Linked DNA regions of Caenorhabditis elegans. The protein of the gene in region 1 interacts with the protein of each later gene in a biochemical or structural test. Each region holds a gene or a part of one and is shown in the gene's direction. Other genes may lie near its edges.

What was found. Proteins that work in one complex are often made in the same cells at the same time.
Region 2: the proteins of tni-3 (region 1) and tnt-4 interact in far-western blotting, tested with the Caenorhabditis elegans proteins (one study listed by BioGRID).

Annotation. Positions count from the first base shown.
Region 1 is NC_003283.11:16,833,111-16,836,685, reverse strand, and holds tni-3 (Troponin I 3), read left to right. Parts: upstream 1-1,557; 5' UTR 1,558-1,576; coding exon 1,577-1,633; intron 1,634-1,677; coding exon 1,678-1,806; intron 1,807-1,854; coding exon 1,855-2,193; intron 2,194-2,642; coding exon 2,643-2,900; 3' UTR 2,901-3,048; downstream 3,049-3,575. Other genes in the region: phy-3 (Fe2OG dioxygenase domain-containing protein), read right to left, coding at 3,163-3,370. UniProt on the Caenorhabditis elegans protein: Troponin I is the inhibitory subunit of troponin, the thin filament regulatory complex which confers calcium-sensitivity to muscle actomyosin ATPase activity.
Region 2 is NC_003283.11:1,988,930-1,994,909, reverse strand, and holds tnt-4 (Troponin T, skeletal muscle), read left to right. Parts: upstream 1-1,996; 5' UTR 1,997-2,023; coding exon 2,024-2,040; intron 2,041-2,088; coding exon 2,089-2,274; intron 2,275-3,082; coding exon 3,083-3,704; intron 3,705-4,657; coding exon 4,658-4,753; intron 4,754-4,817; coding exon 4,818-4,898; intron 4,899-5,107; coding exon 5,108-5,233; 3' UTR 5,234-5,435; downstream 5,436-5,980.

The DNA of each region.
Region 1 (3,575 bases):
CCGAAATTTTCCTAACTTTTTTCAAAAAATGTTCAAAAAACCCAAAATTGACCTCCAGACTTCCCATTTTTCTCCCAATCATCAATCTTTTGCCACCTCAAAATTTGCGACAATTGATGTGGTGGCAACAACTGTTCTGATATCTCTCTTTTTTGCAAATTGATCCTCATTTTGATTGGCACCGGTGGTCTGATAAAAGGGATTCCCCCGGGGAATTCCTGCTAATTTCCGAATTCCCCTAGCACATTTTCTACCACAGAAAAAGAAAAGTAAGTAGTATTCCCAAAGCTTTCCCGTGAGAGCTCCGAGAGCTCTAGGCTCACACACACACATGTCGTTTCTATCTTGCGGCAAAAAGTGATGATGGGTTTTGAATTACCGCCGTTTTCACTAGTGCTTCTTGCCCGCCTCCGCCATTCTTTTTCGCCCTGTTTTATTACACTGTTCGCTTCTTCGTTTTGTTTCGTATGCAATATGTGCATCAGCAGTAGGAGCAAAAGTTATAGACGGGAGATAGAGAGAGAGTACAAGATGGAGGCGGAGAGCAGGGGAAAACAGGGAGGGAGGGGGTTCCGCAGGAAAAACATGTTTTAAACTTTGGTTTTAGTTTTCAGTCTTCTCCTCCTGATTCACTCATTCTGCCATTCGTTGTGATCAGATTACGTCATGCTTTTTGATTTTCCAGGTCTTACTTTTTTACCGTATATCTTGTCTAGCCTGATTAATATGCCATCGGCCGGGTTTTTTGCGGCTGCCATTATGAATTGTGGTTTTGTGAATATTTCGTAAAATTCAGTCTGCTGCAGCAAGCTTTAATAGAATTTTGGAAAACCCTGTGAGATGTCGGATGCATTGGAAACTGTTGGTCTTGTGAAAACCAATTCAATGTCGGCTGCAGATTTGTTTTTGTTTTTTACACTTTTTGCAAAACTTTCTTGCAGCCAACATGTCCTGGGTTAAACTAAATTGTATCAATGTCGGCGACAACATTTTACTTTTTAAAAACTATCGAAGCTGCTTGCAGCTGATTTCTCACGGGTTCCCAAAGTTCCGCTAAACCCAGTTATGTGTCGGCTGCTATAACGTATCATCTAAATATAAATTAATTTCCTTGCACCCGACATTTCCCGGGTTCACAATCTATTACGTCTTAAAATTTTGGCTGGAAAAAATTACAAAAACCTCTGTTTTATGGAAACTTGCGGCCGACATCTGCCGGGTTCAACAAAATGTCTCGATGCTTTAAATGTACAAAATACACCCGGTTAAGTGTCAGCTGCAGATATCTAAGCCTATACTGAAAATTAGTTTGCAGCCGACATTTCCCGGGTTTGCCGCCGCCGCCACCGGTCGGCTGCGTCGGCCTCTTTAGGTTACCGTAGTATCTTTCAGAACATTTTATGTTCTTTGTTCTAATTCTCAAATCCCATTTCTCTACTAACTTCTTCCATATGCTATTATTTTTCCTTCCTGCTCCGCACACATACTAATCAAGATTTATTGCTCAATTTCTCTTTCCCGCCCCGCTTGCCACTTCTCACAGATCAACTTTTCCAGGTCATTTTTCCCCGCCAAAATGCTGATTGAAGACGAGAACATTCGCTACGGCGGAGCTCAGGCTGATGTTGAGGACGTAAGAAGTTGCTCAATTTTCAGATTACTTAAAATTAATTTCAGGATGCCGCCCGCAAGGCTCAAGAGCGTGAGCTCAAGAAAGCCGAAGTCCGTAAGCGTATGGAGGAGGCAGCAAAGAAGGGATCCAAGAAGAAGGGTTTCTTGACTCCAGAAAGAAAGAAGAAGCTTAGAGTGAGTAAAGCCTTGGCTGTAACTTTTTAGATATCAGAATAATTCCAGAAACTTCTCATGATGAAAGCCGCCGAGGACTTGAAGCAACAGCAAATGCTCAAGGAGCAAGAACGTCAGAAGACCCTTCAGCAGCGTACTATCCCACTTCCAGACGTCGACTCGATCAATGATCAGGGACAACTCTTGAAGATCTATGAGGATATGTTCGCCAGAGTTTGTGCTCTTGAGGAGGAGAAGTTCGATATCAACTTCGGAGTATCCCAGACTGAGGCAGAGATCAATCAGTTGACTATTCAAGTTAATGACTTGAGAGGAAAGTTTGTGAAGCCAACATTGAAGAAGGTGTCCAAGTACGACAACAAGTTCAAGTCATCCGGAGAAGTTAAGGTGAGAGATTGGAAATAATGAATTTTGTAGAAACTTTTCGAAGCCTCGTTAGGTGTCGGCTGCTGCAAGACAATTTTTGAAATTTTTTGAACAGACCAGTTAGGTGTCGGCTGCAAACTATAAATGTGGGCATCTAACTATTGCGTTTGCAAAACAGATGCAGCCGACATCTTTGGGGATCACCCAAAGCTCGCTAATTCCCGTGAACTGTCGGTTGCAACAACTTTTCGTGCCAAATGCAGAAAACACCAAAAATGCGTTAAAATTGTGTAAAAAAATGTTAAAATGCTCAACTCAAACACGGCAAACCACTATTTAATTTCGGAAAGAAAAATTTGACTGAAAATTTCCATTGAAAAATATTCCGATATCTTTTTAAAAACATTTTAGTTTTTTTAAAGTTCTCAAATTGTTCCAATTGATTTCCACCAAATAACAATAAATTTCAGGAAAAATCAAACTTCCGCAACAACCTGAAAGTGGTCAAAAAGGAGACGGACCTCGACGAAATCATGGCAAAGAAGAAGGGAACCGCCGACGGAAAACCAGAATGGTCCAAGAAAGAGAAGAAGGAAGAAGAGGCTGCACCAGTGGAACTAGCTGCTCCAGTCGAGCCAGAGGCCGAGCCAGAACCAGAAGCCGCCGAGCCAGCAGCTGAAGAGCCAGAAGCCGAAGAGGAAGAGGAAGAAGAGGAGGAAGAGGAATAAGAAGTGGTGATCTTTTTGTAGATTTTTATGTGCTTGAGCTTATTGATTTTTTATTGTCAAAAAAAAAATTAAATATGATAATCGCATTTTTCATTGCTACTTATGAAAGTTAATGGAGAGAAATTGAAATAAATCTTTTGAAAACTGATAAACCCCCAAATTTTGCTAAGTAGCCTTGCTGCAAGCGCGCTCTGCGGACAAAAAAACGGTATATACCAAATATAAAATTATCAACGGAGCGCGATTACACACAGACACTCACCATTTTTCTGCCATTTCGTGTCCTTTGTCTCATCATCACAAAGCTCCAACTGATCCGTGCTCCACCATTTTTCACCCAAAAAATTCGTGAATTGCTCGTTGAAATCGTCCTGGGCGAGCAGCCAAATATGTCTGCATTGGCTGTAAAGCCACGTGGCACACAGTAGAGAAACAAGACCCAGAATTTGACGGAAAGTGACAGAAATCATGATGGTTTTCTAAAAATAAATATGATTAAGTTGCGGAAAAAGCGGAAAGTGGGAAAGTTTATCGAAACAAAAAAAAACAACAGAAAAGAAAACATACCGGCGACGGCAGAAAATGCAACTTCAGTTTTATCCCGATTTCCACGTACTGAGCACATTGTGCAAAATGAACTTTTGGAGAATAAATGGAGCAAAGGGTCGAAAAGGT
Region 2 (5,980 bases), about 15 Mb from region 1:
CTCATTAAAATGACCAAAAATGCTTGCAAAAATGATTTTTTTTAACTTTTAGTGGCGGTAACTTCAGAAACGTGAATGATACCAAAAAATAATCAATTGTAAAATTATTTTGCATATCAAGAGCTACATTTTATCAGTTTACTACTTTTTTCTATCTTCACCCGCTGCTAAGTTACAGTCAGTTGAAACAAACCAAGTCCAACTTTTAATAAACACCCTTTTTCCAGATTTTTGCCGGTAACTCCAAAACCAGTTGTTTTCCAAGATTTTTGTCAACAGATAAAACAATCTCCTTTTAATTTTACACATTTTCGTAGTTGAAAGTTTTGTTATATCTTAAGTGTTGGCAAAGATATGAGACAATTAAGCGAGCTCGTCCAATTTTATAAAAATTTTCAAAAATCATCGTGAAAAAATTTCGTTAAAAAAATTTTCAGAGGAAAAGGCCTAAACATTTTTGAAAATGAATAAGTTACTTTTAACTAAAACTTTGCATATACTTTCATTTATCAGCTTTACTTTAGTGGAGAGAAAAATAGAACTTTGGAGTATTTTTCCATTTTTAAAAAACTACGCATATTTTTTTCTTTGATGAGTAATATTCTTGCATAAACCTTATGTATAACAAAATTTTCAACTACAAAAATGTGAAAAATAAAAATTTAATTATTTCAGCTCTTGACAAAAGTTTTGTCAAACAAGTAGTTTTAGAGTTACAGGCGAAAATCTGGAAAAAGGGTGTTTATTGAAACTTGGACTTAGCTTGTTTCAACTGACTGTAACTTAGCAGCGGGCACAGATAGGAAATAGTGGTAAACTGATAAAATGTAGTAATTGATGTGCTTATTAATGTTGTAATTGATTACTTTTTTGTATCTTGCACGTTCCGGAAGTTAGCGCCCTTCAAACTTTAAAAAGTCATTTTTGCAAGCATTTTTGGCCATTTTAAGGAGTGTAGCGCCACCAAAAAGATACGCATGGGGCGTCAACTGCAGATTTTTATTCAACTGACTGTCTAATACATCAGGGCATATAAAGTTTTTCATTTCGCCGAAAAATAAAAAAAAATCGAAAAAAAAATTTTTTTTTCGTCATCACAGTTCTGAGATTTAAAATATCTGGGAGTAGTCCGATATGGCTGATATTGTTGGGCTTATCATTACTAACAGTCTTCTATATAACCACAAAAAAATATCTAAGAAAAAATCAAAGATGAGAAAAAGCGACAAAACTTATTGACTGACCTAATAGGTTAATTTATGGGTTTTCTTGAGAGTTATGAGCTAAGACTTGCATGGCATATGTTTTTCGCTGTTTTGAATCATTTACAGATATTTTTTCCACTTTTCAGAAGAAAAAATTTTTTTTTGAAATTTTTGAAATTTTTTTAAAAAGGTGGTCTAGCCACTTTCAAAACGTCATAACTTTGCTGAACCTGGACCGGGGCAGCTAAATTTCTTGGAGAGATCATCATTTTCACTCTTTTATCGAAAAATTACTATGGCATGTCAAAGTCCGGGGTTCAGTTTTTCGACTTCCCTTGTAAGCATTGAATTTAGAGGGGAATCCTTAAAATTTCTGATCCAAATCCATGAGTTAGCCATTTCAGATCCTTGACTAACCATCACTTCCTGACTTTTTTTCCTGCTCACTTACCACCAGTTCCCCTGTCTCCACCAGAGCACATCACCGATCGCGACATGATTGTACACACAGGTAGCTCTCAAGAGAGCTTACCCGCGATTTGCCAGGATACTCTCCCAAATCTCTCTCATGTTTCCATGATCTTTTTGCGCAGTTTGCGGGATGAGAAAAGAAAGCTAACATACACTGTACGCCCACCGAAACTCGAGATCCGCCTCCCCACTACCACTTGTTGGAATTCATTGGGGTGGGCAAACTTTGAAGACACTATGTAACACTTGCTCTTCTTCCCCTTGCTTCCAATTTATGTTTCATTTCCTAACTTTTGATTTTTTACATTTTTTCAGGGGTTTTTTTTACAACCAATTCACCAATCAACATGTCTGACGAGGAATAGTGAGTTGAAATTTAAAAAATGTTATATTTCAAGTTTTAAAATTCCAGCTCCGAGTACGAGGATGAGGAGGTAGAAGAGGAGGAAGTCGAGGAGGTCGAGGAGGCTGAAGCCGAAGAGGAGGAGGACACCGAGCAGCAAGAGGAAGAAAGGTTCAAGCGAGCTTCTGTCGACACCACGGCAACCGGTGGTCCAGCAACACCGGCTGCTTCTTCGCACGCTCCTGTCTCTTTCGAGTACTTCTTTTTTTCAATTCTTTCCTATCTTATAGTAAAAACTACTAGGCTTTTCTTATCCAAGACCGCCGTGATCTCTCTAATCAAATCACTAGTACTGTTGAGTGGAAAAACTTTTGAAAAGCCTGCGTCTCCGCGCTCGGCCACACTATTTTCTTCGCACTCAAGCACATACACTTACGGCATCACTGTTTGCACTTTTTTCTTTCTTTTCACAATTCCATTATCCATGCAATATTGGAGTGGGTTAGAGGGTCAGATATTTGGAAATAGTTTACTTTTAAATGAGCAACCGACGAATCGAAGTATCCGATGAGAACACATCTGTATTTTTGTATAAAGTAGGAGCAGCCGACATATTACGGGACCAAAATATCATTAAAATCATGTGAAGTCGGGCATGCACTTTTGTTGACCTTCGAGATGTCGGCTGCAAAGTTTTACTGACTGTCATTATGAAGTATGAGCTGCCGACATTATACGGGATCCGGCAATTTGTAGAAGGCAGCTGGCAAACCTCGGGTTTCTCAATTGTCGGCTGCACACTTTCAATGGCTAGTGTAGGAATAAGAGCAGCCGACATATAACGGAAATCGAGATCTCAATGAGAGAGAGATCTCAATATCCGGAACATTTTATTTTTTCAAAGCCTCATTAAAAAACAATTTGCCCTGAAAAATGTCGGTTGCTATCCTAAATTGAAAAAAATTAATTAATGCCAAATATCTAACCCTATAAAATCACTGAGACACTACTAAATCATCACATTCTGAAAAAATAAATTACCCTAACAATATGCATTTTTCAGCGGAGAAGCTCTAAATGAAGGTGAGAAGGCTATGCTCGCCGCCAAGAGACGTCACGAGAACGACGAACAGGCCAAGTTGGAAGACTACGAGAAGGCTCGTCGCTCCGAACGTGAAAAGGAAGAGGAAGAGTTGGAGAAGCTGAAGGAGAAGCAAGCTCAGCGTAAGCTCGCCAGAGAGCAAGAAGAGCGTGAAGCTGCCGAGCGCAAGCGTCTCGACGAGGAACGTAGACAGAAGGAGGAGCAGGAGCGTCGTGCTCGTGCCGAAGAGGAGAAGAAGAGGAAGGAAGAGGAGAAGCTGAAGAAGGCTCAGATGATGGGTGGAGGATTCCCAGGACAACAGGGTGGAAGAAACTTTGTCATCCAGAAGAAGGAAGAGTCCGCCGGAGTTGGAGATCGTTTCGGAAACATCGTGCAGGCCAAACAAGAGATGGGAATGACCAAAGAACAACAGGAAGAGGCTAAGTCGGTCGCCATGGCCGGTATTCGTAAGTCGATCGCCGAGGCTTCCACCATTCTTCCAAATGATATGAAGGCCAAGATCAAGGAGCTTCATCAAAGAATCTGCAAGTTGGAGGCTCAGAAGTACGATTTGGAGAAGAGACACGAGAGACAGGAGTACGATGTAAGTAGTCTTAGTCTTAGGCTTCGGCTTATGTTTAGGCTTGGCATAGTCTAGGCTTAGGAATAGGGTTAGGATTAGGCATATGCTTGGGCTTAGGCTTGGCGTAAGTGGCGAGCGGTAGCTAGGCTTATTAGGCTTAGGCTTAGGCTATGACTTAGGCCAAAACTTACTGATTGGCTTACTAGGGAACCATCAGAAGGTGCCCATCGGACTTGCATATGAAACCTATGCCATTCGATAGCCTATGTCTTAAAACGGTTACTCGTGAATTTTTAGCTGCGAATCTCCAGAACCAAGTTCACGGCGAGCTCTCAAAGATCCTAAAATAGCACTATAATGAAGCATTGAATGGCCAATATTCCTAATTTACTTTGGTAGCTCATATCTCCGTGGATAATTTTTTTAGAGAAAAGTCATCAACTGATAAGTTGTTGATCTTTTAGTAAAGAACAAATTTGTAGTTGAAAGTTTTCCACCAAAAAAATTCTGTTTCAGATAGAAGCGCGTGAAGTGCGGCAACTGTTGTTACTATTTTATTGCTGCTATTATAATGTTTTTATCTGATACAAAAAATTGTTGGTAAAAACTTTCAACTACAAACTTGTTCTTTACAAAAAGATCAACAACTTATCAGTTGATGACTTTTCTGTAAAAAATTTATCCGCCGAGATATGAGCTACTAAAGATAATTAAGAAAATTTCTTCTTTAGATCGTTACAGTGCTTCGTTACAGTGCTATTTTAGGATCTTTGAGAGCTCGCCGTGAGCTTGGTTCTGGAGATTCGCAGCTAAAAATTCACGAGTAACCGTTTTAAGACATGGGCTATCGAATGGCATAGGTCTTATATGTAAGTCCGATGGGCACCTTCTGATGGTTCCCTAGATAGGCTGCAGCATAGGCAGATTCTTTAACAATTTAACCACTGAAAATACGGAAAGTTTGCAAATTTCAGCTGAAAGAATTGAATGAGCGTTCCCGTCAAGTGGCCCGTGCCAACAACGCCAAGAACGGACAAGTCAGCGGAGACGACACCGGAGGAAGACATCCAGTATGTTCATTAGGATTTTTGGCATTAATAGACAAATTATAATAACTAACAAAATTATTTTCAGCCAAAGGTCCAAATCTCTTCCAAATACGACAGACAAATCGACAGAAGAAACTTCAAGGAGCGCCGTCAGGTTTATGAGAACGTAAGTTAAAACATTTGTTTGAAAATTGAATTGGGGGCTGGTTTTTATCTGAGAATTTACAAAACCCTGATTTTGGAATACCAAAAAAATAGAAAAATTAGAAAATTTAAAATTGGTTAGGTATGTTATATTCCTAATTTTTTGTATTTTCAGCTTACCTAGTTTAATTCAAAATTATTCGATTTGTTACCATGTTTTTTAATTTCCAGAAAATCGCATTCCCATGCTTCCCAGGAGTTGCCCCACCACCGGCATTGTACGAGAAGGTGATCAAGAAAATGGACTACGAGATTCAGCAAGAGCTTGAAGCCGCCGAGGAAGAGGAAGACTATTAAGTCGATAATACCAATAAAAAAACCAAAAAAAAAAATCATTTATCCAAGTAGTTTTTATCTTTTTTTTTTTGCAAATACGTTTAATTGTTGTTCAATTTTTCTCTGAAACTTTCAGAAAAATCCAAAAAAAAACCCTCTCACTTTATGTTCCCATCAAACTTTTCCCAATGTCTAAAGTTAAAAATAAAGTTGAAGCGGAAATATTCTGTTATCATTTCAGTTACTGACCTCAATTAATAAAAGCGGAAAGGCGGGCGAGAACGTGGCACTAGAATGTTATCACTGAAATTGAAATAGTTCTTGTTCTGATGATGATGTTTGTGGCTATTTCGGGTGGCTTCCTGAGGAAAAGATCAAATAAGACCGAAATTATATAATTCGACACTTACAAAAAAACCCATTTTATGAGATTATTTTTTTCTGAAAAATTATATTTTTTTCAATGTTTAAATTTTTGAGAAAATCAATTTATTAATTCACCGCTTCGGAATGTTTGGAATTTTTAGGGGTGTCTTCCCGCTTATTAGCCTAGACCTACCTACCTACATGTCCGGCCATCACCTACTCGTTGCCTGCCAAAGCTTTCTGTATTTACTTTATTAGTAAAGCCTCCAATCTTAATTTTCAAACTCCTTCTTTAATGTAAGTAATATATTTTTTGAAAAATAGTTTCACATAATGATATGTAGAGGAAATATGACAATATTGTATTGCTATTCTATTTCTAAAATTTAGAAAATGTATCAT